Linked DNA regions of Astyanax mexicanus. The protein of the gene in region 2 purifies or fractionates together with the protein of the main gene of each other region. This does not show direct contact. Links are inferred from orthologs where the notes say so. Each region holds a gene or a part of one and is shown on either strand. Other genes may lie near its edges.

The links.
Region 1: the proteins of ift57 (region 2) and ift172 purify together in Homo sapiens (affinity purification with mass spectrometry; 3 studies listed by BioGRID and IntAct, counting the BioPlex papers as one, with this or other methods). This does not show direct contact. The link is inferred for Astyanax mexicanus from reciprocal best matches to the Homo sapiens genes IFT57 and IFT172.
Region 3: the proteins of ift57 (region 2) and ift22 purify together in Homo sapiens (affinity purification with mass spectrometry; 3 studies listed by BioGRID and IntAct, counting the BioPlex papers as one, with this or other methods). This does not show direct contact. The link is inferred for Astyanax mexicanus from reciprocal best matches to the Homo sapiens genes IFT57 and IFT22.

Annotation. Positions count from the first base shown.
Region 1 is NC_064408.1:56,343,280-56,353,560, forward strand, and holds the start of ift172 (intraflagellar transport protein 172 homolog), read right to left. Parts: upstream 6,459-10,281; 5' UTR 6,340-6,458; coding exon 6,301-6,339; intron 5,779-6,300; coding exon 5,635-5,778; intron 4,913-5,634; coding exon 4,800-4,912; intron 4,677-4,799; coding exon 4,637-4,676; intron 4,539-4,636; coding exon 4,473-4,538; intron 4,386-4,472; coding exon 4,306-4,385; intron 4,193-4,305; coding exon 4,105-4,192; intron 3,800-4,104; coding exon 3,585-3,799; intron 3,156-3,584; coding exon 3,032-3,155; intron 2,916-3,031; coding exon 2,820-2,915; intron 538-2,819; coding exon 376-537; intron 1-375. Other genes in the region: uncharacterized protein LOC103024580, read right to left, coding at 8,421-8,572. UniProt on the Homo sapiens protein: Required for the maintenance and formation of cilia. Plays an indirect role in hedgehog (Hh) signaling, cilia being required for all activity of the hedgehog pathway.
Region 2 is NC_064411.1:27,939,206-27,949,486, reverse strand, and holds the start of ift57 (intraflagellar transport protein 57 homolog), read left to right. Parts: upstream 1-5,300; 5' UTR 5,301-5,584; coding exon 5,585-5,739; intron 5,740-7,471; coding exon 7,472-7,646; intron 7,647-8,844; coding exon 8,845-8,963; intron 8,964-9,077; coding exon 9,078-9,165; intron 9,166-10,176; coding exon 10,177-10,243; intron 10,244-10,281. UniProt on the Homo sapiens protein: Required for the formation of cilia. Plays an indirect role in sonic hedgehog signaling, cilia being required for all activity of the hedgehog pathway.
Region 3 is NC_064408.1:15,182,934-15,193,214, forward strand, and holds ift22 (intraflagellar transport protein 22 homolog), read left to right. Parts: upstream 1-4,268; 5' UTR 4,269-4,593; coding exon 4,594-4,632; intron 4,633-5,885; coding exon 5,886-5,968; intron 5,969-6,649; coding exon 6,650-6,739; intron 6,740-7,331; coding exon 7,332-7,534; intron 7,535-7,639; coding exon 7,640-7,788; 3' UTR 7,789-7,879; downstream 7,880-10,281. Other genes in the region: ftr82 (finTRIM family, member 82), read left to right, coding at 858-1,378; atp5l (ATP synthase subunit g, mitochondrial), read right to left, coding at 8,408-8,506, 9,243-9,403. UniProt on the Homo sapiens protein: Small GTPase-like component of the intraflagellar transport (IFT) complex B.

The DNA.
Region 1 (10,281 bases), on a different chromosome or scaffold from region 2:
TTTCTGGTACATTTAAAGAATTTTATGTGCGCCTTATCGTGCAGCTTTATTTGCAGTGAAATGTAAAATACATTTAAATTTGTGGTTGGTAAGGAGACAAAATGTAAAAAAGTTCAAGGGTTATGAATAATTTTGCAAACCGCTGTATGCCTAAGGAACAGCTTAGACAGTTTAGCCAATCCTTAGGATGTAAAAGGCACTGAGCATAAAACTGTATGTACCTTGACGTAGTTGTATACTGAGAGTTCAGTACACAAAGGTGATATTGTTTTTCTTTTTATCCACAACATTGTCTTAAGGTGAGTACTTTCCTAAATGCAGAGCCAAACAGAAGGAAAACGGCAAAACCATGGGTAAAATTTTCAGCTTTACTACCTCACTCAGTTTGTTGCATCCCAGGTCTCCCAGAAGCAGAGTGTCAGAGGTGTGTGCAACCAGGTAGCGGTCCTTGCCCATGATTTTCACTTCAACAATTTCATAACCATGATGTGACTTCAGGACCACTCGTGTGCCTGTAGAGAGGTTCTTCACAATCACCTATGTCACAAAAAAAACATAATTGTCCATAAATCATCAGACAAAAGTTCTAATAAATAATAAATATGTTTAACAGTCTATTAGAAATGTAAGGAGTTAATGCTGTGAAATGCATTGCATCATGGAGCTTGTAGGGAATCTAGTTGTCGTAGTCAGGTGCTGAAATGGAGCACAAAATGGCCCCTTTCTCGCTTTTGCAACCTTGCTTATTTCAGAGCATATTACACACAATTTTAACCCTTACATTCTATCTGGGAAAACTTCCAGTATCTGGAAACAGCTATTGTTATTTCTCTGCATAAAAGTGGTGACCACAGTCTTCTCTGGAACACTTGCATATGATCGTTTTTAACAATAACACAATACAGTGGGCCCAAAATTACCTCTGGGTACAGTCATGGGTACAGTAATTACTACCTTCTACTCATTTAGCAAATACATATTTAGGAAAATCTAAAAATTACAAATTGTTCTAATATTTGTGGATTTGTTAAAATATTCCAACAATATAAGTATCAAAATATTTACCAGAGTGCCCTGATCAAGATTTATTAAAACATATTGATTTTTATTAACATCGCTCGATCTAAACACAGTCTTTGATACAATAGATCATACTATCCTTCTAGAAAGATTAGAGAACATGGTCGGTGTAACTGGTTTAAATCATACTTTACCAATCGTTATCAGTTTGTGATAAATGATATACCTTCCAGTTATACTAGAATTTATAGTTATAGTTAGAATTCGCTAAACACACATCTAATGTTACTAGAACAGCTTTTCTACACCTCTGTAGTCAAATTCTACATAAACTATAAAATTCTCATGTTAAAGTATACAGCCCTACACGGGCTCCCTCCTGAGAATTTGCAAGACCTCATCTTCTATTACGAATTACCGCGATTGCTTAGATCACAAAGTGCTGGTTTCTGCAGGAGAAAACGCTTTCTCTTATAAAGCTCCCCAACACTGGAATAACATTCCGGAATATGTTCGGGACTCAGACACAGTCTCAATCTTTAAGTCTAGACTAAAAACCTACTTGTTTGGTCTAGCTTTCGGTAATTAATGTTTTTCCTTTAGATCAGGCTGCAGATCCAGGGGTTCACGGACATAGGGAATTGTGGTAAACTGAATGCTGGTGCTGTTGTTCACCCACTCAGCCACTCAGGTTTGTAGACCAGTCAAATCCAGTCAAAACTAATTCCATCTTTTTGCTTTTCTGTTTTCTCTATCTATCTCTTCTACATATATCGAGATACCCTGTTGCCCAGCCTGGCTCTTCACTGCTCGCTGTGTTGCATCCCTGCTCTACGACCCTGCACTGATCAACATGAACACACTCAGAATCTGTTTCTATATTAGCCATAGCTCTTCATTATCAATTATGTGACCTTTTTACATTGTAGCTTAGTACCTGTTTCTACATTATCCATATCTCTCCATTATGTGCCCATCACATTTTTACATTTATAAATCAGTACCTGTTACATTAGCTCTAACTCATGTTATCTCTCTGTACTGTTGTTTTGTTCTGTTATTTGTTTGTTGTTTGTTATTTCTTTGTACTGAGCAGGTCCACCCCAGGGGGATGGGTTCCTCTGACTGAGTCTTGGTTGCTCCTAAGGTTTCTTCCTCTTAAAGGGAGTTTTTTGCCACTGTGTCCCACAATAATTGATATCTCTGTGGTGCTGCTCATAAGAGGCATGGGCCTGTTTTTCTCTGTAAAGCTGCTTTGTGACAACTTCTGTTGTAAAAAGTACTATAGAAGTAAAATTGAATTGAATTAAATGAAATACATCTCTAGCCCATTTAATAAGTGATTTATAAAAAAAAAGCATGTCTGTGGTTTAGTAAAGTAAAAAACGAAAAAAAAAAAACACTCGAGCGTCATGTTAAAAAATATATATTTCTAATCAATGCAGTTGCCATATAAAAAAATCCTATTTTTATGTGGCTGCCATTTTAAAATTAGTCCTGGATGTGAGCCAAATTCATTCCTCGCACTGAGAAAATAAAGTTTATAGCTTCTGCTTACTTGCCCTTTTTAGTCTTTGACTAAAGCTCATTCCATAAATTCGAAAAAACTTCCCTTAAAGTTCCGCACTTTTCAGCATAACAATTTCTTATGCATCTTCATTTAATAGGCATAATTCGGTCTAATGTAGTATGCTCTTCATTTATTCCAATGTCAAATAAGTTCACTTTGACTTTGACAGAAAATAATTATAAACATCAGACATAATTAAAACTACATTAAAGTTTAAAAAAGAACCTACCTGATTAAGGCCCACATAAGTAATCTCAAATTTGTTCTTGTAGATGCTTCTGCGAAGGCAACAGTCAAATTGCTCCACTCCACCACACAGCGTACCCTGGTCAAAAATAAGGATAAAAGGTGTTGCTTCAATAATGTACTACAACAGAAGCCAGCCTTTTTTAACAGGCAACTTTAATACTCTGGCTGGTCTGTGGGTAATCCAAAACACACCGTGCAGAGCCGTGAGCCATCTTTTTTCCACGCAAGAGCCGTAATGGTGTACAGGTTGGGAATTTCTTTGGGAGATGCCTGATCCCAAGCACCTCTTTGAGGACTCCAGTTGAAAACCCTTAATCTGCAGGACAATGCAGGAAAATGTTATTAAATCTATGATACAATAAATTATGATTAATTCTTATTATTTAACATTTAACATACATTATTATATGATTCTAATTCCTTCCCCTAGCCATTGTTGTTTAGTTATTTTTGCAACCAACAAATGTGAATTGGGTGTGGTGAAAAGAGGAAGGGTTACACTTCTGCACAATTACTTTTTTTTTCCACTCATGAGAAAAAAAAATGTTGTTGCACTCCACAGATGATTTAATGTAATTGTACTCGTGTGTATGTATGCATGCAAACAGTACAGTATATAACTTTTAAAAAAAATCAATTGCAACTACTTGAGGATTAAACTAAAGTTCCATGGTGTGACCGAACGCATGACATTAAAGATTTACTAGAAAACGTATGGAAAATAGCATGTAAATAGCATACTCACCTATCATAACTGCCCAACACTACTGACTGTCCACTGGGGCTGGTGGCTGCAACAGTAAACTCCTTCTCTGAGCAATCCCGGCTGTAGTCAAACATCTGCAGAACATGGCCCTCCTTGCCATATGCCACAATCTTCTTATCAGACCCAGCCACAATAATGCTGTTGCTTCCCCATGCAAGAGCATATGGTGGGCAGGTGTGTGTGAGCAATTTGCCCTTAATAAGCACAAAAGATTCCAGTTAATCTTCTACTATGTACCGTCTTATCCAAAAGGAACAGTGAGACCAATCACTTTCTTTCTGCTGCTAGACTGATTTTTCATCTTCTCTTAGCTTTACAATTGCTTGTTTTTATCCTAGTCAGTTCTCTGGTTTTCATGTTGGTTACTCCTGTAACTACAAATTCACAGTCTGCAAAAAGGGGGACTGGCCTTACTGTTTCATAGTGTAAATGTGCAAAAACAATATTTAGAACTTTTTTGTATTCATTTTTTTGTACTTATTGTTTTTGGTTGTGATACCTGGGATTCACCAGAACCTTCATCCTCAAAGAAATACCGCACAACAGTCCCATCTGCATGGCCTGAAAGGATTCCTTTACCGGAGACACTAACACATACAGTTTGGGATAAAGTAAGTATGTGCAAAACCAAATATAATACAAAACTTCAAAAAGATGGCAGAGGTACAGAGAACTATAAGAAAAACATATATGGGCATACTTTGAAGTCAGCGAGACAACATAGGATTCTGTTCCATAGACTGTAGATGATTTGTTGTTTTTTGTGTTGGCCACACGAATCTGCATGTCAACAAAATTATTAATTAATGATGCAAATGCATTTTAAACACATTTTTTAAAACGTTCTGTAAAACTTAGGGCACCTACTTTTCCCTCTGCCAGTCCAAAAACTATAGAGTGTTCTGCTAGCCAAAGCAGACATATTACAGCACTCTGTAATAATGGAATAAATGAGAAGTTAACATACCGTGTTATATGTAGAATGTTGTCATTTTACTCCATATTTATAAATCTACATACATATAACTTACTGTCTGTACAAACTTGTTGCAGATAACTTTTTTGTCACCCCTGTCATTAAGATAACATCAGGTTATAGAGGCAGACATTTTGGTTTCATGTTAATTTAAAGATGGTTAACATAAATATAAAATTTATATCTAAGTAACATTAAGGATAAACTGACATACTTACCAATCTTCTCCAATTTTGTATACAAATATGATATTATCAGTTTGGGCAATGGCGATCTTGGTGGAATCCGGTGAAAATGCTATAGACTTGACCATGTAGCTTTTCTTTCCATACTGTAAAAAATAAAATAAATAAATAAATAAATAAATAAAGCATGCACTGGAGAAAGGACAGGGCGCAGCTGCTGACTATACTGGCCAAAAACTTCTTGCCATGCTTCCTAAAAATAATGACTTCATTCTGAACCAGGAGTAGAAATGTCAAGAGTAGAAAATACTTAGATTTGAAACCATGTGTACTGGGAGGGTCAGATAATCTTTTATATGATTCCATCCCTCCTAACAGCATTGTTATCCAGAGGCTTGGTGTTCTCAGAGGTAGGGCGGACTCTGACCTTCTTTCTTTAAAAAGTGAGTATGAAGAACTCTTTCCTGAGTGAATTATTTAAATTAATAAAAACAACAAACACACACCAGCTGAAAACTCCTGCTGCTCCTACTTTGACTGGACACGTGATGCTGGTTGTCATGGTAACGTTTACACTACGTGATATTCTATACAATTCAAATTTTTCGATCAGATTACTTAAATTACAGTACATGTACACGGAGATTTTATTAGATTGTTGAGTAGTCTGTACCTATAAACACTTCAAATTATACAATTGAAATTATTTTTTCGAATTGCAGATCTTACATTTGAATCTGTATCGCAAAGAGGCATACTCAGGAAAAAAGCAAGGGTACGGAATGAAGCGTATCGTGATATGAAGAAAAATATACGTTGTCAGATTAGTAAAAGGAAAAGCAGTTAAGTCGCCCCACACTTATCGTACTTTGGAGTCTGCAGGCTTGGTTGAAAACTTATCCCGTCTCTCTCCCTGTTCGTCGTACAGCAGAACTACCCGGTCAACGGTGCACACGGCAAACTTGGCGTTGTTCGGTGCCCATGCCATGCAGGTCACTTTGGCAGCCCCGTCCTGTCAGAAAATAAAGAGTTTTACTGGACAGCCAGAAAAACCGACCTGAGATATATTGGGTCGTGGGATATAAATGCGACTGGTTGCATAAACACTAGCTAAGCTTTTTTGTTTTATTACAAAGGCCAGCGTTAACTCTTAGTAACTAATTAGAACACATTTACGTTGGGGGTTATCTACATATTTAGACCAGTAACTTAAGTTAATTATTTTGCTGACTAGCAAAATATGTGTTACCTTAGTGGCATTTTATTGGTTCCCGTATGCTAACCTAGCTAACGCTGTGTTAGATAACTAGGTTTAATTTCTACCCTCACCCCAGTTTTCAGGAAAGCTAAACGCCAGCTATTCCATTTAGTAGTTAGGTTGGCTAGCTAGATAACGCTAGTTAACCTACTGTTATGCTGAATCTGTAATACGAGACAATCGAAAAGGCTACGCTAACGTAGCTAGCAATGTTTTATCCTATCAGTAGCCGTGGAACACTGCTAGCTAACCTCATCAGCTGTCCTTTAATATTACCTGTGGGGTAAGAAGAGTCTTCAGGTGTTTGAGCTGCATGCTGTATATTTTATAAAGAAGTTTAATATCGATGGTGATATTTGCTAAATCTCCGTTCCTGGTTACCGTCGTCAAGACGCACGAACCACGAAGAAGTGACAGAGCCGGTTTATGGGGAGGCCTCCCACTTTCGTCGTTATAGCGGAACATTACCGCTAGAGGGAGCCCGCAAGTGAGTACAAAATGAATAGGGGTGAATAGAGTTAACCGACTAAAAGAACTAAAAACAGTAACTAACCTCTAGTCCTAGATATTATTTGAAACTTTAAATGTAGACATTTAATGTGATGTGTATTTTGCTTAAAAGCAAAGAAAACATACCTTGTTTTTTTATATTCCTTACAGTGCTTTCTTACTGTTTCTTACTTAAAATGTTGTTTGTTTCTACTGTGTTGTGTAACTGCTACTGGCTGCTAATTTCCCTTCAGGATCAATAAAGTATCTATCTATCTATCTATCTATCTATCTATCTATCTATCTATCTATCTATCTATATTGGTTAGCTGATGCTGGAGTGATGCTGCTGATATTAAAACGTTTATAAAATGATGTCTGCGGCGCTGAAACATATTATTGTTGGTAACATGGCATTGTTCTATGTTAAAAAGTAGAACATTTTACCGTATAAAATAATTAATCATTAATTAACTCTGATTTTCCCCACATTACTTTTAGACTGACTCAGAGGCTTCCTTTGGTGGTGAAACAAACCCGGAGGAGATTCTAAAGTGGGTTTTCTCCCTTGAAATAGAGAGTCTCTGGTTAACCGGGTAAGAGGGAAACTGCAAAGACGCCGGCGTGACGCAAATCTCCATCGTGCAGTTCCCCATCTATGTAATGCTGCAGGCCGGAGCCCAAGTGGGCGTGGCTAAAGGGCGGAGCATGTGTCAATCATTGTCGACTGCAGCCAATCAGATACTACACTTTTGTTGTCAATCACTTTTTATTAAGCCAATCCTCACACAGACCAAACTGTCCATCATTTTTTACTGCAGCCAATCACCTTAACAGATCTGTTAAAAGAAGGCGGAAACTGCGTTGCTACTGGTTAAACATAGCGCGATTTAAACTTCTGAACAGTAGAGGTGGGCGATACCGGGAATTTTGGTATCGATATGATACCAAGTAAACGCAGGGCCAGTATTGCCGATATCGATACTGATACCGATACTTTTTAATATTTAAGCTTTATAGATCCAAATGATCCAAAAACCTAGGATATAATTTCACCAAACATTGATAACAAAATACTTTAGTATCACAATCAACATTTTTTGTTTAGAAACAATGGAACAGTAACAAAACAAAGTTTAAATATAAAATAAAAAAATATAAAAAAATAAAATAAAAATTCTCCCCTCACTAGACATCTTTTCTAGTTCTTTGTTTCTTTGTTTCTTTTTTTTAATAGAATTGTCATTTGGAAAAACAATAAAAAAAATAAGGAATTGTCTTCCTTTCAGTGCAATTCAAATGCAAGTTTTTCTTAAATAAACAGAGTGTAAAAAAATATCACTCAACACAAATCTCCTGAGGTAGAGGCGTGTCGACTCGAGGAGAGCGCTGAGTGGGCGGGGCCAGGCTGAGCCTACCTGCGTGGCGGTTTGGCTGGCTTTGCTGAGCCATGTGACGCATGTGCAACAACAAGAGACCAGAGAGTAGACTGAAATTAGATTAGAAAAGCCCTGACTTTAGATATTTTTAAATCAAAGATTAAAATACTCGTTTTTCTGGAATGGCACTTTCGTGATTTTTTTCCTTTATTGCGGTAATTCCAAAATTTCTCCTCGGGGATCAATAAAGTGTCTGTCTGTCTGTCTTGCATTAAATTGTGTATACGTATGTGTACGTATATATATATATACACACACACACACACACACACACACGTATACACGATTTAATGCAATTACTACAATAAAGGAAAAAAAAATCACGAAAGTGCCATTCCAGAAAAAAAAGTCAGGGCTTTTCTAACGTTTTCATTCAGTTACTTCTGTTTAAGAGCGGCATATAGGCAGGACTAACTACAGTAGCACATAAATGTGTTTAAACTGTTAATGTAGTATTGTGTAAAATACTTATACACATTCAGCTTCACCGCTGTTCAGAAGTTTAAATCGCGCTACGTTTAACCGGTAGCACCGCAGTTTCCGCCTTCTTTCTTCTTCTTCTTCTTCTTTCAGGTTTATGGCGGATGGCAGACCAACTGAAGGTGCATTACCGCCACCTACTGAGCAGGAGTGTGAAGTGTGATTTCGGGAAGTGACATGGCCAATAATAAACAAAATGTAGGTGAAAGGAAATTCATAAATAAGTACATAAAAATAAAAGAAAGTAAACGAGAGAGAGAAAAAAAAATTAAATAAAGTAAAATATACCAATAGCTTTCAAATATTGAAAAACCAGTTTGTGAACCGAACCCATCCCTGCCCCATAAGAAAGCAATCCTGTCAAAGAAAATTCTTTGTGACCCTTGTCTTTAAGAGAAGAAAACAAAATTTTCCTTTGTACAGCATATTTATTGCAACAAAAAAGAACATGGTCCACGGTTTCCCTCTGCGGACAGTGGCGACAAAGCCCTGTGGAGTGTTTCTGTATTATTTGCAAAGAGGCATTCAGCATACTGTGACCTACTCAGAGCCTTGTTAGTACAATTTCCTGCCTCCGACAGTACCCTCCACTCCCTCCAAAACCAACCGGTTGTATTGCAAACAAATGCCTTCGGTTCATGTTCCCAATTAGTCTGTCATAATGTTCTAACATGTTGCTTTATAACCACTCTTGCCTCAGCTTTGCTAAGAGGGATATCAAGGTCATATCTATTTTTCTTCAGGCATTGTTTAGCAGCTTTGTCAGCAGTCTCATTACCGTCCACCCCTACATGTGCTGGAACCCATAAAAACTGAACTAAAATAGTCTGCATGTGTAAACGAAATAATGCCTGAGATATTTCTAAAATTAGGTCTTGTCTACATTTAGATTTGCCAGACTGGATGCTTTGTAAAGCAGACAAAGAATCTGAACAAATCACCATCCTCATAGGGCAAACAGCCTCAGCCCACTGCAATGCTAAAAGAATGGCGACAAGCTCGGAGGAAAATACAGATAGGTTGTCAGACAGTCGCCTACTAATGATCACATGAAATTCTGGCACAAAGACCGCTGCTGATGTGGATCCCACAGTAGGATCCTTAGACCCATCAGTATACACCTGCAGAGTACCATAATAATTAAGTGCCAGATGTTGTTCTACCATAACAGCTGTACTTCCTGCATCACTCCATTTTTTATTAAGGAGGGAAAAATCAACACTAGGCAATGGGAACATCCAAGGTGGTACCACTGATATAGGAACAGTACTGCCGAAAGCACGAGCCTGCAATCCCATTTCGCCTGCTTCTGAGTTGCTCAGAAACCCAAAACTCCTTGAGGGACCATGAAGAGGAGTACTGCAATCATGTAGAACAGACACAGCTGGATGGCTCTCTATGTGCCCCTTCAGGTTGGACCAATATACTGTAGACAATGCAAGTCTTCTTAACTGCAAAGGCATTTCTCCTGTTTCAACCTGTAGAGAAGCCACTGGGGAGGATCTAACTGCACCACAACACAATCTCAGTGCTTGTGCTTGAATTACATCAAGTAATTTTAGGTTTGACTCAGCAGCTGATCTATAGGCCATGCAGCCATAGTCAAAAACCGATCTAATTAGAGCATCATAGATGCACAGGAGAGAGGAACGGTCAGCCCCCCAGTCACTTCCCGTCAAGCATTTAAGGACATTTAATCCTTTTTTGCATTTGTCTATGCTCTTCATAATGTGATGCTTCCAGGTCAATTTCGAGTCCATCCACAGACCAAGAAACTTGACTACCTTCACCTGTTCAAGAGTCTGACCATACAATTTAAGCCCAAGTTCATTTGTTTTTGATCTCTTAG
Region 2 (10,281 bases):
TGCAAAGATCATGGTTCTTTTCCCCACTTTATTAAAAAATATATATATTAAAATAAAGCACTACATTTTTATTATCTCCCTTAATTAAACATGCTCAATCTTATCAACATCTTTATTAAAGAGTGAAACACTGAACTGTAGAAGTCTGCAGAAGACATTGTAAGAAGGCAATTGTTTTTGCAGAATCTGATTGGTGTATGTCTGTATGAAAGTTACTTCAGCAGTGTGGAGAAAATGTGTATTTGCCATTTTTTTAGACCCTCTACTTGTCATAAATAAAATGCACAGAAATATATTTTGTGAAGTAACTAAGTCACTTAAATATTATATAAAATAACTACATTAAAAAGAGAGTTATTATATATTTTCGCTCTTTGTGTCTCTGATTTTCCCTGTTTTGTGTGTCAAAATGAAATGTACACTCAATGACAAAAAGAAATAATAATATGGCTCCCCAGATTGTGGAAAAACTCGGCTAGTGTACCTCTTGGTGAGAGATTATTAACTGTTAAGTATGCTGTTGACAGACTTTGAGAGGTGAAACCGTATCATGTTTCATGTATGGAATGTGAAAACAGTCATGTTTGAGTATGAAGGCCTGATGGTAAATACTTTAGTTCTGGTTTTGCTGTGGAGCGACACATTGCCCACACTGTTGGTGGGGTGATATTGGGAGCCATTGAATACAACAGTCAGTCACGCCTAGTAGTGAAGCATTATGTGCAGAACATCTGGCACGTTCCAGCAGGATAATGCTCATCCACAAACTGCAAGGGTGTCCCATGTATGTCTTCACCAAATTGCAACATGTCCTTGGTCTGCACGGTTGCCAGATTTTTCCAGTCAAGCATTTATGGGACTAACTGAGACACCAGCTTCCGCAACCCACAGTATGAGTGTGCAAGATCTACACACCCAGCTACAACATCTGTTGGCAAATATGCCACAAGATGCCATATGGAATCTGTACGCCTCCGAACGACAACTTTCACTTTCTCAATAAACTTATCCTTTTACTCTAATATTTTAATCACCTACATATACAGTATCATCATTACATTCACACATACAGTATGAAGCTTCATTCTATTCCAACAACTCTTTCTTGGTGCGTTATTATTATTATTATTATTATTATTATCATTATTTTTGTCAATGAGTGTATTTGTCGTCCTCAATATAAGTCATACACAGACCAAACATGTATGTAAATGGGAGAGAAATGAGAAATGGAATGACTCATTTTTATTATTTCAGCATAGTTAAATGGTTAAGAATGAAAAACAGTAAGATAAAGCCAACATGAGCTTACGTGTGCCACTCCTATTGTTATAAAAATGTCCTGTCTTATCATTTGCCAAATTAGTGCAGATGCTAAATATGTCTGGGCAACTAATGAGCGCCAAAAGCTCAACAACAAGATGATCAAGGAACAGCTGAAATATTTTTTCCTGACATTTTAAGCTTTGAGAAGTTATACTGACTTTACCACAGAAAAATCTGTAACTTTTTAAAAGTAAATTAAAAATAAACTTTGCCCAATTAAAACCTCCACTTAAACCTTAAAAGGCAGTGTATACATATAGCAGATAAACTGCGTTACTGTGTGTGTGTGTGTGTTTGTGTGTATCTGACATGTCTGCTAAAAAAAGATTACTTGAAATAAATATGAACAGCTGAGCAGCTCTACTGGAATTCTTTCTCTCTCTCTCTCTCTCTCTCTCTCTCTCTCTCTCTATCTCTCTCTCTCTCTATCTCTCTCTCTATGAAACCCACACACACTCATTGATACACGCATGTTTAAATGCCGATATGCATTTGATATCTTGATAGTCTTAGCAGTAATACAAAAACATACATATATTTCTTAAATAAAAGCGTAAATCCTACTTGAAATTCAGTACAGATATTATCATTAAAACATCATAAAATTGCTGTTTTGAACTGTTCATCAGTCCTGCATGTCGGCTTGGAGGAATTTTAACCCATTCCTCCATACAGAACATCTTCAATTCTGGAATGTTGGTGGGTTTCTGCTGCTTCAGCTCCTTCCACAATTTTTCTTTTTTACTGGATTAAGATCAGGATTTTGGCCAGATCCCGTTCCAAAATATTCACTTTGATCTTCTTCGTCCATTTTTTGCTAGAATGACTCATGCACTTAGGGTCATTGTCTTGCTGCATAACCCACCTTTTTTTGAGATTTAGCGCAGACAAAAGTAATATTAATAATAATATTAATACTATTAGTTTCCATGAGGATTTGCTGGCATAATTCATTATTCATTATTCCATCAATCATGGCACATCCTTCATTTCCTGCCAGCATTAGCTAACTAAAACAAATCACTTTGTATTCTTTGAAAAACAACAATGGTGCCAGAGAACTATGTCTGGAATGATCTTGCTATAGTAAAAAAGCACCACACAGTGAGTTTGGAGATATTTACGGGAACTTGAGCAAATAAGATATTCTTATATACCTCACAATTAATTGTACTACTGTTTTTAACAGTTACATCATCAATAAAATGGGTCAAAATATCTGTGGCAGCCATGCCCGATCCATGACACCTCCACCACCATGTTTAACAGGTAGGTAGGTAGGTTTGCTTTGAATTGTGGGCCCACTGTTGCATGGTCTTTAGTCTTTTAAGCACTTTTTTGCACACTGTAAACTGATTATTTTGCTAATCTGGCCAGAATACTCTGCCTTTTTGCCGTCTTTTGACTATTTTTTATATTTATAAGACTACACAAGAATGATATTTTACTTCAGACTACACAGGAACGATACTTTCTGTCATGCATGCATTCACCCATTGCAAGCTGCACGACAGAGTAGACAGTGACAGGATGGACAGTTACAGAATGGACAATTTAAGAGAAAACTGGCATTTGTTGAAAACTGGCATGTTTGAATGTTCATGGTGAGGTAGTTCTGTTTCAAAGATACTGAGATAATTACTGAGATATTTTACTAAAAGACTGTGGACAGCTTGAGCTTAAACACAGCTTAATATGGAAATAATGTGATTCATATTAAATTAAATTGCTGAACATGCAACAAGTGTCTTAAGTTTCTTAAGGTTATGGTATCACTGATGTAAAACGTTATGTTAAAGGGGCGGGGTTATCCCAAAATGACAGAATGGACAGGGAATTCTTGGAAACATTTAAATAGTTTGATATATGTATATAAAAAGCTAAATTAAAAATGTCAGTGCCTAAAAACTTTATACATTTTTAACACAATTTAAAAAAGGTTATTTAATCCCCTGAAAGAATCATTCAACTTAACTAAGCAGCAAAAACCTTCCCACATCAAATAAAGCTTTAAAGGCCTTTAAAGTAGATCTATATTTTTATAATGTGTTAATTAAAAAAAATTGTATTATACAATGTTTGTAAAAAATTTAAATAAATATTTCACAGACGTATGGAGACATTTGTCTCAAAATGAGTGGAGTAGAACTTAAATCAATAAAAAAATAACTGATTTTTTGGATTAAATATGGATTCAAGGATTAAATTAACTTGACCGGTGATTCTTTGTGCTTTTTTGAGTTCTAAAATTCTAAGTTAGACTGAGTATTCCTACAATAAGCAAAACAATCTTACACATACACAATGCTTAGTGAGATAAAGATTCTTATCAGAGAGAAAAAAAAATGATTGCCTTGAAATTAGATAATTTCACATTTTGTGCATATTGTGACTTCAAATTACATGAAACAATGTGAAAATTATTCTTAAAATAAGCAAATATTCTTATACTTATACACAGTGCTTAGTAAGACAACCAATCTTTTCAGAGACAAAAATAAGATTTGTTGCCTTAAAATTCAATCATTTCACTTTTTGTGCTTGTTTCGAGTTCAAATTACTTTAAATAATGTGAAAACTCCTAATTATTCCTATAATAGTCAAAATAATGTTAACATTACACAGTGCTTAGTAAAACAAAAATATTTATCAGATAAAAAAAGGTTTATTTCCTTACAATTAGATAATTTTTGTGCTTATTTTGTGCTAACATAAGGGAAAAAAGCCTAATTATTCCTAAAATAAGCTAAGAAAAAAAAATCTTACATTTATACAGTGCTTAGTAAGAAAAACAATCTTATCAGAGGAAAAAAGAAATATGTATTGCCAGGAAATTAAATAAGTGTTATATACAGTGTTGACGAGTCTAGCTATATTTCTATTTCTATTTATTCTATATGAAATTGTCTATCTATTGACTGACTAATACAAACCCGCCTGTATTTTCTAAATGTCTGATCTAATTGACCATTTTTATTGACATAACTGAGTGTTTTTGTAGTGTGCAGGTATTACTGCTAAACGTTACTGAACAACAGTTAGTGAGCCAGAGTTGCCAGGTTCACGGTTTTTCCGTCAAATTGGGCTTGTTTGAAAATCCAGTCGCGGGTGAAAATTCAGGGGTGGCGGGGTGCGTTTTTCGGGCTTCTTTTAAAAATTACCGCGGCCACCAAAAAACAAAAACAAAAAGTCACACCCCCCCCCCACCCAAAAAAAAAAAAAAAAAACATAGTGTAACCAGAAATCACTAGGCAATTAAAAATAATGAAGAGGAGTGAAGAAAGTTCAGGAGGGGCAGGAATAGAAAAGAGTAAGTAATTTTATTTTATTTTTTGCTATTTATGTTATTATTAAATGTTCTTGACTGTGATATAAAACTGTTATAAAATAACTAATAAAAAATACTAATGTAACACTATTATTAATGACTGTAAGTAAATACTAAGCCGTGAGACAGACAGCTCTGGAAAAAAATTAAGAGACGACTTCAGTGATTTTGCTATTTAATAGGTACATGTTTGAGTAAAATAAACATTGTGGTTTTATTCTATAAACTACGGCCAAATTCTCCCAAATTCCTGAAAAAAATTGTCATTCAAAGTTTTATTTGCACAAAATGAGAAATGGCTGAAATGACAAAAAAGATGCAGAGCTTTCAGACCTCAAATAATGCAAAGAAAACAAGTTCATATTCATATTTGAGTTCAGAAATCAATATTTGGTGAAATAACCCTGTTTTTAATTACAGTTTTCATACATCTTGGCATCATGTTCTTCTCCACCAGTCTTACACACTGCTTTTGGGTAACTTCATGCCTTTACTCCTGGTGCAAAAAATTCAAGCAGTTCAGCTTGGTTTGATGACTTGTGATCATCCATCTTCCTTCGTGATTATATTACATTATGTTTTCAATTTGGTAAAATCACAGAAACTCATCATTTTTAAGTGGTCTCTTATTTTTTTCAGAGCTGTATATTTTGGGCTAGTTTAAGCTTCTGAATGGCGGGTTCTAAACTGACTTTGGGCTGGTTATGTTTTTAGACCTGGCAACCCTGTAGTGAGCTACAGGCTAAACTAAGCTGCCAACAGTAACTACAACAAACCGCACAGACACCAGCCCAGCATTAGCAGCGGCTAGCGGGATAACTTAGCTAACCTAGCTAACTGTACACCCTTCTACAGCACAAAAGAGGCTTTAATTTACCCATCTGACGAGTAAACTACAGCTCTCTAACCCGCTGTAGTTTAGTGTACAGTATGGCAGAAGATGGTAGAAGAGTGGAGGAGGATGAACGGGGTCCAGGAGCTCAATTTCAGATGTTTGTGGTTATGGAGGATATGCTGGATAAACTGAAGCTGCTGGATTATGAGGAACATGTTCTGGTTAAACACAACATGAAAACGCTGTCCAGGTAAGAGTTCGGCGAGTTAAAACAACAAAAAATGAGATAGACTAGCTTATTATAGCATTGTTATTAGCCTTAGCTGGCTATTTTGTTTCTGGATCCAGGTCCAGAAAGTACCTGTCCACCCCAGGATTTCGTTCCAACTACCTGAGCGGCTCTGCTGCAGCTCAGAGCCACCCAGACAGTTGGAACTAAATCCTGGGGGTGGATCAGTACTTTCTGGACCTGGATCGGCCACTGTTGAGTAAATTCAGCAAGTCATGTAGCTATCTTCATGTAATGTTATTTAGCCAGTATTTAAAGCTAAGCCCGTAAAAATACATGTATATATAGCTCTGGAAAAAAATAAGAGACCACTTAAAATGATTAGATTTTACCAAATGAAAAACCTCTGGAATATAATCAAGAGGAAGATGGATGATCACAAGCCATCAAACCAAGCTGAACTTCTTGATTTTTTGCACCAGGATTAAAGGCATAAAGTTACCCAAAAGCAGAACATGCCAAGATGCATGAAAACTGTGATTAAAACTACGTTTATTCTAACAAATATTGATTTCTAAATTCTTTGATTGATTTCTTTGCATTATTTGAGGTCTAAAAGCTCTAAAATGGTATTTTCTGCAAATAAGTTCTCTAAATGACAATATTTATATTTGGAATTTGGGAGAATTGTTGCCTGTAGTTTATAGAATAAAACAACTTAAACATATATCTATAAATAGCAAAATCAGATTCAAAACAATAAAACCACAAGGACCTCCAAATTCTGCCTAATCTGTCTTATTGTGATAGAAGAATTATTGCACACATTCTGTAAATCCTATAAACTTAATTTCTCTTCTCAAATGTCACTGTGTTCGTCTGCTATATGATACATTTAACTAAAATTGCTGATCCAAACAACCAAAAATTTATGAAAGGAAATCCTGAAAATGATCAGGGGTGCCAAAACCTTTTCATACTACTGTAATGCTACTGTAGGATCTTGTGGAATATTTTGCTAAAACACTGATTATTGTTGCTTTTTAGAGCAGCTCTACATAAAAATAATCCTGCCAGTTGTACAGGGGTTAGACAATGAAACTGAAACACCTGGTTTTAGACCACAATAATTTATTGTCCCGACGGACAGTTCTGGTGGAAACAGGATAGTTGAGGTGCACATTGAATTCTGCCGTGATTTGATCAGGTTCTTTTATGTTTTTTGGATACACTCCGGGTTAGCACCCAAACATCCCTTTCAGACAGTTTCCTCTTACAGCGTCCACAGTTAATCCTGTTGGATGTGGTTGGTCCTTCTTAGTGGTATGCTGACATTACCCTGGATACCGTGGCTCTTGATACATCACAAAGACTTGCTGTCTTGGTCACAGATGCGCCAGCAAGACCTGCATCAACAATTTGTCCTCTTTTGAACTCTGGTATGTCACCCATAATGTTGTGTGCATTGCAATATTTAGAGCAGAACTGTGCTCTTACCCTGCTAACTGAACCTTCACACTCTGCTCTTACTGGTGCAATGTGCAATTTATGAAGATTGGCCACCAGGCAGCTCCAATTTAGCCATGAAACCTCCCACACTAAAATGACAGGTGTTTCAGTTTCATTGTCCAACCCCTGTATTAGTTATAATATTAATAATATAACATTGATTGTCCTCATTTTGTCTGTGTTTCTCTCTTTGTCCTTGTCTTTTTCTTTCTCTTGTCCTCCTCACTGTTCCTATTTTTCTCAGGCATTATTTTGTGTCGAGTCCATACACAGCGAGCAACACGGGTGAGCAGTTCTACATGTTCAGTGTGATTGCAGCCTGGCTTATAACACTGTGTGGACGGCCGTTTGAAACACCACAGGAGCATGATGACCCCAACGCCACCGTCTCCAACATCCTGTCCCAGCTCCGAGCTCTGGTCAGTTACAACAAGGCAGAAACATTGAACATTGAAGAGTGTGCATGAGTAAGAAAGTATGAGACAGAGACATGGGACATAGATGGGTCCCCTCGAGATGAAGGTGGGCTGTAATGATGAAGCTCATTTGGGAATTCCAACTGTGTCTCAGTAACAACACATGTACAAACCCATTCAGAGCCCATGCCCATGTCTTGAACCCACCTAGCCTGTGTTCCACCCATGTGAATCCCACATCATGGAGCCATCAGAGCAAGATTGGGAATAGGGGTGTGCCATAACAAATCTGCTAACATTTTTGAATATCATGAACGATATAATACCCTGAAATATCGTGTCATATCACCCACCCCTAATTATCACATCAGGGTACTCCTTCTTTTTTTCAACTGTTTTTAGCAAAAGAAAAATTCACACTGTTCTCGTTTCCCATTATATATCTACTGGAGATTTTATCTGCCCAGTATCATTTATTTTACTTTAATCATGGATATATTGAGATATATGGAGTGCATTATTAGTCCTGTTAAAATCTTATATATTTTTTAATGTCTCAGTTAGGGGTGTGCCGTAACATATCATATGCAATAATAACATTTATTTTTTTCATTTTGTTGCAGTAGTGTATTTTTTATATATTTTTTTAAATTCAGTGTTCTGTGGTATCACCAAGAGTATCATTAATGGTAAAATACTATGAAATATTGTGTTTTTATTTTAAGGCCATATCGCCCACCCCTAATTGGGAATGTCCAAGACTAGACTATGTTCTGTGTCTTGTTCTCTCTCTGTCTTTTTTATCTCTCACTCTGTCTCTCTGTCTCTTTCTCTCTCTTTGTCTCTGTGTCTCTTTCTCTGTCTCTTTGTCTCTTTCTTTCTGTGTTTCTTTTTCTTTCATGTACTCTGTGTCTCTTTGTCCCTCTGTCTCCTTTTCTGTTTCTCTCTCTGTCTCTTTCCCTGTCTCTTTCTCTGTTTCTTGTTTTTCTTTGTCCATCTGTCTCCTTCTCTCTCTCTCCTCTCTCTCACTCTCTCTCTCCTCTCTCTCTCTCTCTCTCTCTCTCTCTCTCTTTCTCTCTCTTTGTTCACAATGTTATGGAGGCACTGTAGTTTATATTAGGAGACATACACACTGCTAACCTTTTCTGTATGACTGTGTGTGTGTGCATGTGTGTGTTTGTGTTTGTGTTTGTGTGTGTAGGGTGGGGTGGTTGATTTTCCTCCTTCTAAACTAAAGTCTGGTTCTGGAGAACATGTGTGTTATGTCCTGGACCGCCTTGCAGAAGAAGCTCTGAAGAGTAGAAACTTCATCTGGAAAAAGTAATACACACACATACACATTTACCCATACTTCAGTAAAGCTCAGCAAATGAGATAATAATAGGAACTTTAAAGAATATTTTTTTCTGACTCTCTGATTGCCTTTTCTGTCAGGCCCGTCTACCCCACTGAGGAGCTGGAGGAGGAGATTGTGATGGAAGATGATGCTGAGCTTACACTGGATAAAGTGGAGGAGATACCTGTAAGACAAACACATGCACACACACACACACACACTTAAACATTCAGTTGCAATAAAAAGTAATTAAACTTGTTGGAATTAAATACATTTAAGAACTATTGACAGAGATAATCTAGAAAAAACAAAAAGTGAACTAACTTCACACAGTTGTACTTTTCATGGGGGAGGTTCACAAAATCTTAGTACAGCTAAGTACTTTGTTAACTAATTGTTACTAATGTTTGTTAATTAACCAGCTGTACTTCAGAAAATTTACTACTGTCAAGTCCAAAGTCAGTACAGAGTTTTCCCGCAAAATCTTACAAAACTTTGTGCTTTCCTCTGCTGACAACTCTTATGGAGATGTGGATTTCATTTTCCAACAGCAATTGGCACACAGCCCACACTGCCAAAAATAATTATCACTCTTATATAATATTGTAATTTTCTGAGATACTGACTTTTGAGTTTTCATTAGCTGTAAGCCAGAAATTAAACGCTTAAAACAGGTCACTCTTTGTGTAATACATCTATGTAATATATGGGTTTCACATTTTGAACTAAATAGCTGAAATGAAGTAACTTTTTTCAATGATATTCTAATTTGTTAAGATGCAGCTTTAGCAGAAAAAGTAAGGACATTTGTTTTTAGTAAATGATTTCTTTGTTGTAACAATGCTTTTTGGCAATCTTTTAATGTTGGAAAGCATGTTAATTTCCCTTTTAAATGAAGCCACATTTGTAAGGAATATGCATTTGTGGGATGAGCGGCAGAGCTAAGTATGTGGGTTGCCACATGAAAAAATAGCCAAATCCTTCTTTTGGCTAATTATACGAAAAGATTTATTGCCAATAAGCATTTTTACATCAAAGAAATAATCTACCAAACATAAATTTCCTTACTTTTTGTGCTATGTTTCCGAAGATTCAGACCATGACCAGTTCAATGCTGAAATTTAGGTTTTTCTAATGTAATTATAAGTTAGGAGTTGAATACAGTAAATTAAATTCTGTCTGTGTTTCTGTGGGTAGGAAGAGCCTGATGAGGAAGAGGATATTATTGATCTGGACGAGCTAAAGAACAGAACCATTCAGAGCGTAAGTTAAAGATCTACCAACATCATCTCTACTGTCCAA
Region 3 (10,281 bases), on a different chromosome or scaffold from region 2:
TGCACCGACAGAGTTGAGCTATATGGTGAAACTATTATACTGTATCTTAACATTTAAAGACAATTTTATGATACACAGCATTTAAAAACTGCAAATTAAATACTCATGCAGTATAGTGATTTTCAATATATATATTTTTTCTGCACATCATCCAATTAAACATTTTACACTTTTTTTTTTTAAATTAAATATACATTGGGTCAGTGTATATTATATTAAAGCATATTTTCAAAGAATAAGTAAATTTGGCTTGATATCATAAATTATTGTCATGTTGCCCTGCTCTAGTGTCAACTCTGTTTTTAAAATATCCTTTTTATTTGATTATGTTTTATTTATTAGGTTTATTTATTGTATGTGTGTGTATTTTCGAATCCCACTGTCTAAATTCCTTTAATAATTAAAATGTTTATTGCTTATTAATAGGGTTTAACTGCATAAATATGCTAGTATATTATAATCATATCAGTGTCAGAAAACTATTGTCAATAAAAATGCCTAAGAAATTGCCTAATTTTTGTCAATAAAACAAATGCTAGTGTTAAAAATCTTTTCGAGAACCATTGCTAAGAACCCTTTTATTTTTTGTTGTGTGACCTACTGATAGGGCTGGGCGATATGGTAAAAAAAATATAGTATCACAATATTAAAAAAAAAATTACAATATATGATATTTCTCACAATACATTCAATCGCACACAAAATGCATCACTACTGACAGAAACTTAAAACCACTTTTCAAATACAAGTGACTTTTATTCAAAATATACTGTCTTTATCACAATATGATCAAATATCACTTTATTGCCCACCTCTACCTACTGGAATTGACTAAATTTCTTTCTCTTTGCCTCCAGACTTCTGCCAGCTCCGCCTGGATCCCAGCACGGCCTATAAAGAGCTCTATCTGTCCGAGAGCAACAGAAAGGTGACGAGAACCCGCAACCTGCAGCCCTACTCAGACAACTCGGAGCGCTTCGACAGCTTCGCCCAGGTGCTGTGCCGCGAGGCCCTGTCCGGCAGCCGCTTCTACTGGGAGATCGAGTGGAGCGGAGAGTTCTCGGTGGGCGTGGCCTATCGGGGCATTAGCCGCAAGGGCAAAGGCTCCCTCTGCTTGCTGGGGTACAACGATAAATCCTGGAGCCTCCTCTGCTCTGACACTGGCTATTCAGCCTGGCATAACAGGGTAGACAAAACCATCAACGCCCCCCACTCTCCCAGGCTAGGGGTCTACCTGGACCACGGCGCAGGGCTGTTGGCCTTCTACAGCATTGGCGAGACCATGACGTGTCTGCATCGCTTCGAGACCACGTTCAGCGAGCCCCTCTATCCAGGTTTTGGAGTCGGAACATCAGTTAAGATCTGCCAGTTGAAATGAACTTGAAGGATTTGCGTCTTTTAGAAAGAGTCCGAAAAATGAAGGACTGAATATTTTCAGCAGTGTTTCTGTTTTTTGCTATTTTTCTACGCCATATATTATGTTTTGTATAATTTTCAGCCATCATTGAAGCCATTACAGTTTTACTTTGTGAAAAAAAAAATCTTTTTGAAAAATCATTTAATTCACAAATTGCAGCAGGGCTTCAAATGGGTATTAGAGGAAAACCACAGAATAACCATATTTGGTTCCATAAAGGTATTAATGGTTCCATGGTTTAAATAAGGCTTTTTAATTATATTAAAAGTGGTTCTTCTATGGAATCCCTCAAAAAAACATTAGAAGTCCCTTTATGTTTAAGAGTGTAGAGAGAAAACCACTAAGATGTTACTCAAGCATTGCCATGTTATGCTGTTCTTTGTCTAATAATATTGTTTTAAATACTAAACCTTGTATTTATCCAAACACCAGGTGCCACATTCATATTTGTGTTATTCAATGACCTATTCAGATTAAAGTTTTTTTTTATCTTAAAATGTGTGTTTGTGTTTTGTAAGAGCTATTTTTTGGACAATGGAGCTCAGAAAACTCTGTTTAGATCTGGTGACTGCTGCATTATATTTGGATAAAACCATGCCACACAAAATAGTAAATAGGCCTGTCATGATAACTATATTTGCCAGGACGATATATACAGTAGATCAAGAAATAATTGCAATAAACAATATTATTGGAATCATATTGAATCATATTACAGTCTGACTAAATGTCAATTAATACTTCTGCCTTGAGTTTTTGCTTTCTGAGTGAAACTTGGCATTAGCATGGCACTTTGAGGTAGCTCAACATTTCATTGGTGGGAGGGGGAGATAAAACAGAATACACGCTTTATCTCCGCCCACTAGTGCATAAAGATATATAACCAAAAGTAATTTCATAAGCAGGAGAGTCATTTTAAAAATAATTTTGTCTTTTGAATTTAAAGGTTTAATGTAACATATTAAACTAAATAACTAATTTTAAGATTAAGATAACTTTGAATCCACCAGTTAAATCCCAGATTAATGCTATATCACTGTAAATTCTTTAAACTCTTCAGTTTCAAATTCTTCAGCCCATTCATACAACGAAAATTGTACAACTCTTCTGGCAAATCTACACAACCTACTTACATCTGGCCTTCTGCCACGGCCTGTTCTTCCAGTCTGCACTGTGTCTCTGAGCTTTAGGAAGGAAACACGCTCCCAGCCCTTTCCTTTACTGTTCCTTCAGTGAAAATATAGAGAAGGAGCTGGCAATCCTCTCAAAAAGCATTTTTGAATCACATTTTTGATGTAAAACACTGCAGCTGCAGCAGTGGCTCTCATTTGGCTCTCTGTCCCATATTTTAGGCATTGCAAGCTCTAATACACTTAGTCCTGATAAAAATCTGAGCTGGCTTTCCAGAAAACATCTTAGCCCAAAGATTATTTTCTTTAAAGGGAGAAAGAGCATCACACTTTGTGCAGGAAAAGCACAGATGGAAATAGTCAAACGATTGAAGGGAAATTCCTGTTTACAGAGAAACTTAGCAAAATCTGATTATATGACCCAGGGGATTTTTTAGGTATCACTTGAATTTATTATACCTGAAAAGCTTAATGCCTAAATGTTTCTCAAGAGAAAGCACATGAAATGTTTATCAACATGCTGCCAGATCTTTCAAACTTTGTTTTTCACAATATATGGTTTTAAGCACATTCATTTCAGAGATATACATGAGGGATGCAGTAAGGCCCAACAAAACTGCCCTTTAGACCAAAGACCAAAATATCTCAAAAATAAGACAGTATTTCTGCTGGTTTTCAATACAATTCAATTCAATTTTATTTATATAGCGCGTTTTACAACAAAAGTTGTCACAAAGCAACTTTACAGAGAAAGACAGGTCCACGCCTCTTATGAGCAGCACCACAGAGATGCAAATTTTTATGGCGACAGTGGCAAGGTTTTCCCGGTTTGTGTCACAGTAACTGTCTAATCAGAATCAGAATGAGTACTATTTTAACTGTAATGTTTTAGCTGTAATAAAATGTTTTAACAGCTAAATTATATATACATATTGAGACTATATAAATATTTTTTTTCTGCAGATCTGCTCTACAGATCTAACCATAAACCACAGTTTGGGATAAATGAGTTTATATTTAATTTCATCAAATGCCTTTATGATGCATTTATGATGCTCCCTCTAGCGGTGTGCACTCATTCTGTTCTAATAAATCTACTCATTTTCATGGTGTGCCCTCTGTTGGTGTAGAATAGACAACGCAAGGTATATAAATATCTACATTATTTAGTGACTGAACAGTTTAATCTTAATTTCAAATGTAAGGTTTATATTTAAGATATACTACACATTTTTTGAGCCACTTATGTCATAGACATCTGCTCTTTTATTATTATTATTATTATTATTATTATTATTATTATTATTATTATTATTATTATTATTATCTTTTTTTTTTATTATACTGATGTGGCTAGTCCAGAGTCCTTATTCCAAACATTTGGTTATTTAGACTTATATAATTATATACATTTATTGGCTAATTTTCTGACTAATTAAAAATGAGAAAATGTATAATATATACTGAATCTTTTCAATTTTATATAAATCCCTTTTCTTTTTTATGTTAGTTTTTTAGGGGGGGGGGGGGGGGTTGGTGTTTTTGCTTTTGTATTTTTGTAATCATGGTTATTTGAACTCTGTTTGTGACCTGATTTTGTGTTTTCTTTTGTGTTTTGGATTGTATGTTGTGCAAAAATGAAAAAAATAAAATAAAATAAAAAACGAGTCCAGAGTGTCGAATGTGTGGAAGTAAAATAAGGCGCTGATTTGCGCTGCAGCACCATGACAACGAGAAGTGTGGTGTTATTATTAGTTAGCTTATTGTGGCTAATGCTAACGTAAAGGAGGCTCGGCTGCTGTATTTAGAAAAATTCAGTTGTTTATTAAATAGATCATGCGTTAATATTTAATCCACCAACACAGCTAATCTAAACACATCGGGGGTTATCCAGAACCACTGTAAATAAACAGATAAAGCTAACAGTAGCGTTAAGCAGTTACGCTGGGTTAGTTAGCTTTAGCTAGCCAGTTCACAGTAGTTAAATCAGCTTGTTACTGAGGGATCTGCAGTCACTGTAATGTCTAATATCTAATTTTCTAAAAAATGTTAAAAGTAAAAATACTTTTAATCGGACCCAGCGAGGTAAGCAGATTCTTATTCTTCATATTTACTTTATGCTCTGTATATACTATTATGTTATATACTAGTAACTTATATCACTTTATTTTTATTTATTAAGCACTTTCTGGACATATACCACCGTACATCACACAAATGCTCGTTAATAATAACACAACTTACCAGACTCGCTCCAGTGACTGGATCACCTTTTAGTTACTGAGAGTTTTTACTGAACTGGTAATATCTGCTTTTAGCTACAGATCATTTCACTACAAGAAACTCTAAATCATTTTAAACTTCTAGTCTCTAACCACCTTCAGACAGCCTGCCACTGTTATAGTTTATATTATATTTTATCTTTTAATTCATGTATTTTCCATATGGATTTTTGGTATGTTTTTGTGTTGTCTTGCTTAATTTTTTAATTATTATGATTTTTTGTAGCTAATTTTAATTTTAATTCTTTTATTTCATTTTTTTTTATCTTTTTTTATCTCTTTTTTATCTATAAGATATGGCTTATTTTTTTTTTAGTTTGGTGATTTTAGCTACAAGCCTGATCAACCTGACCAAGCTAGATAGCTGGATAACCAGTATGACCTAGCTTGACCAAGCTGTTCATCTAGCAAGACCAGTAAAACCAAGCTGATTGACCAGCATAGCCAAAATCAAATGTAACATAGTAGTGGATCTAAAAAAAATTAAATATCATAATTTTTTTTTTTCAGTGATTCATTTTAAACTCACAGAGTGATCTATTTTAACTGTTTATTTATTTTATTGTTGATGATTAGGCCATGTCATCTGCTGGTGTTGATCCACTGTGTTATATCAAGTCTAAAATCTTACAGCACTTCATGCTTCCCTTTGCTGACAACTTTAATAGAGATGAGGATTTCATTTTCCATCAGGACTTGGCACACTGCCCACACTGCCAAAAGTACCAATTGGTCTTATATAATATTCTAATTTTCTGCGACACTGAGTTTTGGGTTTTCAATGGCTGTAAGCCATAATCATCAACAATAAAATAGATGAACACTTAAAATAGATCACTCTGTGTTTAATACAACTATATAATATGAGTTTCACAATTTGAACTGAATTACTGAAATAAAGTAATAAAGTATTTACAATTATAGTTTTTGAGATGCACTAGTACACTAACCAGAGAAATTAGCTATCACTATAGGGTTTATAACTTATTTCCTAATTATGCCATAACATCTTGTAATGCATGACGCATACATTGTTTGATATGTTTATGTTGACAGTGTGGAAAGACTGTGCTGGCAAATTTTCTCTCTGACACTGTGGAGACGATTGAGGCAGATTACAGTCCCACACAAGGAGTGAGGTGAGATTTATATGGAAACTGAATATCACTAAGAACTGAGCTTTAAATTAATAAACCACAAATAATACAGTGCCTGCCTAAAAAATAATGTGGGCTAAATGATGTGGGTTGATGCTGCAGTTGGTCTGCAGGTTTAGGTTCAGCAACAGTATGTCAGACAAACCAAGTCTCCCTGAAGCTGCGGGAGTCTCCCGCATTTCGGTAGTGGCTCCCTGATGCCCGGGAGTGGGGTAACCTCCCTGAAATCAACTTTTGCAACTTGGGATGTCTGGTATGTGCTGAAAGAATGAGGTTATACTGAATATACTGAATATAGAACAGGTTATTTTTTCTTCCTGATGATCACGAGCATATTCCAAGATGACAATGTCAGGATTCATGGGGCTGGAATTGTGAAAAAGTGAATTGTTCAACACAGAGTCCAGACCTGAACCTCATTGAGAATCTTTGGGATGTGATGGAGAAGCTTTGTGCAGCAGTCAGACTCTACCATCAACACTGAATTTAAATAAATCTTGTGACATTGCAGAAGTTTATTGAAACAATGCAACAAAGAATGCGCACAGCAATCAAAACAAAATGCAGTCCAATGAAATATTAGGAGTGTGACCATTTTTTGGCCTGGCAGTGTATACGTTTGTGTTTTGTTTTTCTTAACTAATTTATTTCTATCTTCATAAGGATACTGGAGTTTGAGTCACAGCATTTGGGAAGTGGTTCGAAAGACTCTGCCTGTGAGGTGGAACTGTGGGACTGTGCCGGAGATTTCAAGTGAGTGTTTTATTTTTTTATTTTTTTTTTACACTGAGGTCAATTCATGACCTTTGTGTAGCAAATAAAATAATTTTCATTTTCCCATCTCTGTTTTTTTTATCCCTAGAATTAAACTAGCTGTTTTATGTACTGCAACTTTAAGACTGCTATATTTACATTGCCTTTGTTTTGATTGGCTGCTTATTAGTGTGCCTCCAAAACAGTCTATACTGCAGCACTCTTCAGTCTATAATGTCAGTGGGAATGGGTATGGCTAAACCACTGTAGGTTGTTGCAGATTAGTTCTAATACATAAGTGAACGGTATGTTTATATAGAATATTTACATAGTACAGCAATCTCTATTTTTTTAGTGAGTAACATCTACTTAAACGTGATATGGGTTCTTCAAATAAGATTTTTTCACATTACATCTATTTTAGTTCTGTATTATTGACAATAGTAGCAGACAACAATACATCAAGCCTTGCCTTATTCAGTTTATTAAACCGGGTTGTATTATTAGATTAATTTACCTGAATTTCACATTCATGTCTTAAAAGTTTGAATTAGGTCTTTTATTGTCCACTTCTAATATATTGTTGATACAGGTATGAAGCATGCTGGCCTGCTTTGATGAAAGACTCCAATGGGGTGGTGATAGTATTTAACCCTGATATTCCAAGTCACCTCAAGGAAGTAGAAACCTGGTACTCTACATTTATCTCTTCACAAGGCCTGGCAGTGGGGCAGTGCCTGCTCATAGCACATCATAAGCCTGGCAGTGGAGCAGATACATCTCGCCCTCAGTTAGGTGAGACTGTGAAATATGCTAAACCTGGTTTCTCATAACAGATACTAGTATTGATGCACTGGGCTTAAGAGATTCATGTTTTTTTGCCGTTTTTCCTCCATGCAGCTTCTCAGTTGAATAAGTTGTCCCTCATTCACTCCAACCTGGAGGAGGATGCTGAAGATGTGCGTCAGGAGTTCCGCAGATATCTGGGAAACGTTGTGCAGACATTGTCCGAAAGTAGGGAGCGTGAAGAAATGTCAATTATAGCATGATTTCGTAAAAGTCTCTGTGCATTTTTTGTATATACAGATCATTCATATCAAGGATTCTTCTGTTACCAGGTTTGTGATTTAAGTTTAACACAGTACAGTCTTGATCATCCCAAAACAACCCATTTTATTCAAATAACTTAAAAAGCAAGCTCATTGAAAGTATGAGAATTGTCCAGTGCATTCCACAATATACACCTTCGACTATTCCATGTTTGTATACTAACAGCTTATTGTAATTTTTGCACTGCATAATATTTTTTTTTTTGTTAAAAACAAAAAGGCTGACCAAATAAATTAAACTCAGTTTAAAAATTCACTCAATTCATGCAGCAAGAGGTGCCTTATCTTGCATATGCCAAAGAGTAATACAAATAAATTAAAGTCATGAAGTGATTAAGAGCAAAATTTACTTGGAGTGTATGTGAGAATTGTTGAACAGGACCCAATAAAAAAAAGTTAAGACATTACCCATCCATGTACTGTGTAAAAAAAAATAATAAATATAAATAAATAAAAATCAGGCTGGTTTTGTTGTTTAACAATAGACATTTATTTAGTTCCTGGATTCCAAGAAGTTCTAACTTAATACAAAGGAACACGCAACAAGAACAGTCCACATTTACACATCATATCCAACAATGCCCCCCTTTCCAATGATCTCGCCAATGTAGAACCACATCAGAACTTCTGTGGCAACAAGACCATTCCTGAAGGCATCCTGTGGAAACAATTGTGTAGTGGTCAAATGTTATTGAACAGAAACTATGACCTGAAATCGCACGGAAAGTTTTACTTTACTAAAATTCAAAATCTTAATAAAAGCAGTGTGAAGCAGGAGTAAAATTGGAAAAACAACTGAAATAAGAAAATGTGGCTGCTTAGCCGATAACATGCATAACAACTTAGTACGAGTTGATCACACTCTATGGAACATAAGATACAGTATGGTAACAGCATTTTCTACCCCGGACACCCTCAGACTATTATTGTGCCTCCACAGATAAATTATACAATACAAATAAAATAGCTATTATACACAGGTGCTACCTGACTAGACTGCAACTCAATGTACTATTTTTTGTGACAATCAGTTGTAAAAAGTGCTACATAAATAAATTTGATTTGATTACTCATTTGGGTTTTTCTTATCATATATTTAAGAGGTAAGAGTAGCAAAGGCCATCCTGTGAATTTGAGACTTATGTTCACAACTCTGTACATTTCAAGAATGCAGTATGACAATAATACCGCTAACACTTAATACTGCTAATACTTTATTTAAATTATGTAAATAATTAATACAAGCTTAAACTCATTTTATACTTGTAAAGTAATGCTTGTAAAGTAATCTGTGTCAATAAAAATGGTCAGAATCCAACAATCACACACTAACAAACCATGATTGGAAATCTCTTTTTTCACACACAAATACTGTAGACTTTCTGGACACTCACCCTGACTGTGGTCTGACCGAGACGTCCTGTCTGAAAGCCTTTGATCAAGTTAGAGAAGCCTGCCATTGCCTTGGGGATCTCAGCTGGGGTAGGGGGCACCAGCTCGACACGGGCGTAATACCAGAATGTTGCTAACCGGGGCTTGGAGTAGCTCACAGCAGCTGCAAATATAAACAAAATAAAAAGCATGATTCATTATTCACAGATAACAAAACATAAAGGAACGACTGACATTCTTTCAATATCAGACACACTATAGGACATAAATTAAACACTGGAGGAGTGCGAAACACAAGCTAAGCTATGCAGCTCTCACTGAAACCACAGCAGAAGGACTCCCCCAAATGCCACTATACACCTTTTTTGTGATGTAGTCAGACTCCTAAAAAGGTTATTTACAAAACGGGGATACTATATCTGACACAGACCGTGTGACAATTAGTAGTAGTTTTAGCCTTGTGTGTATTAACCTAAAATTCAAAAGATTTAAAAACAATGAATTGGCCATGCTTAAAGATCATGGTATTGTATCGAGAGAAAAACCCTACTTTAAAGGAGATATTTTAGAATAAATTATATTTATCATAATAAAAAAAAATATCCCATGCTTAGTGCAGTGCTGTATATTAAACATTACTATAAGTACTAAATTAAATTAAACTGAACTAATTCAAATGTAGTGTAGTGAAATGTAGTGTTCTAACAATTACATTTTTATTATCAGCAGGCCTATCACAATTACTATTTTTTATTTTATAACCATGGAACTAACTGCAATAAACATGTAATTTTACTATTTTGTGATAAATAAGCATCTTATATTATGCAACTGTTGTGTTAATACAATAACATTTACACTCTTTTATACAGCAACAAACTTTTGATTAGGAATTGTAATGTACTTTTTAAAATCTTAAATAAATAAAGCAGTTAACTGCCTCTCCTTGCTAATAAATCACAATTAGCAATACTGATGATCTATAAAGACCTTTAGGGGTCTTGTCTGTAATTTTTGTATACAAGCCAATAAAGTAATTAC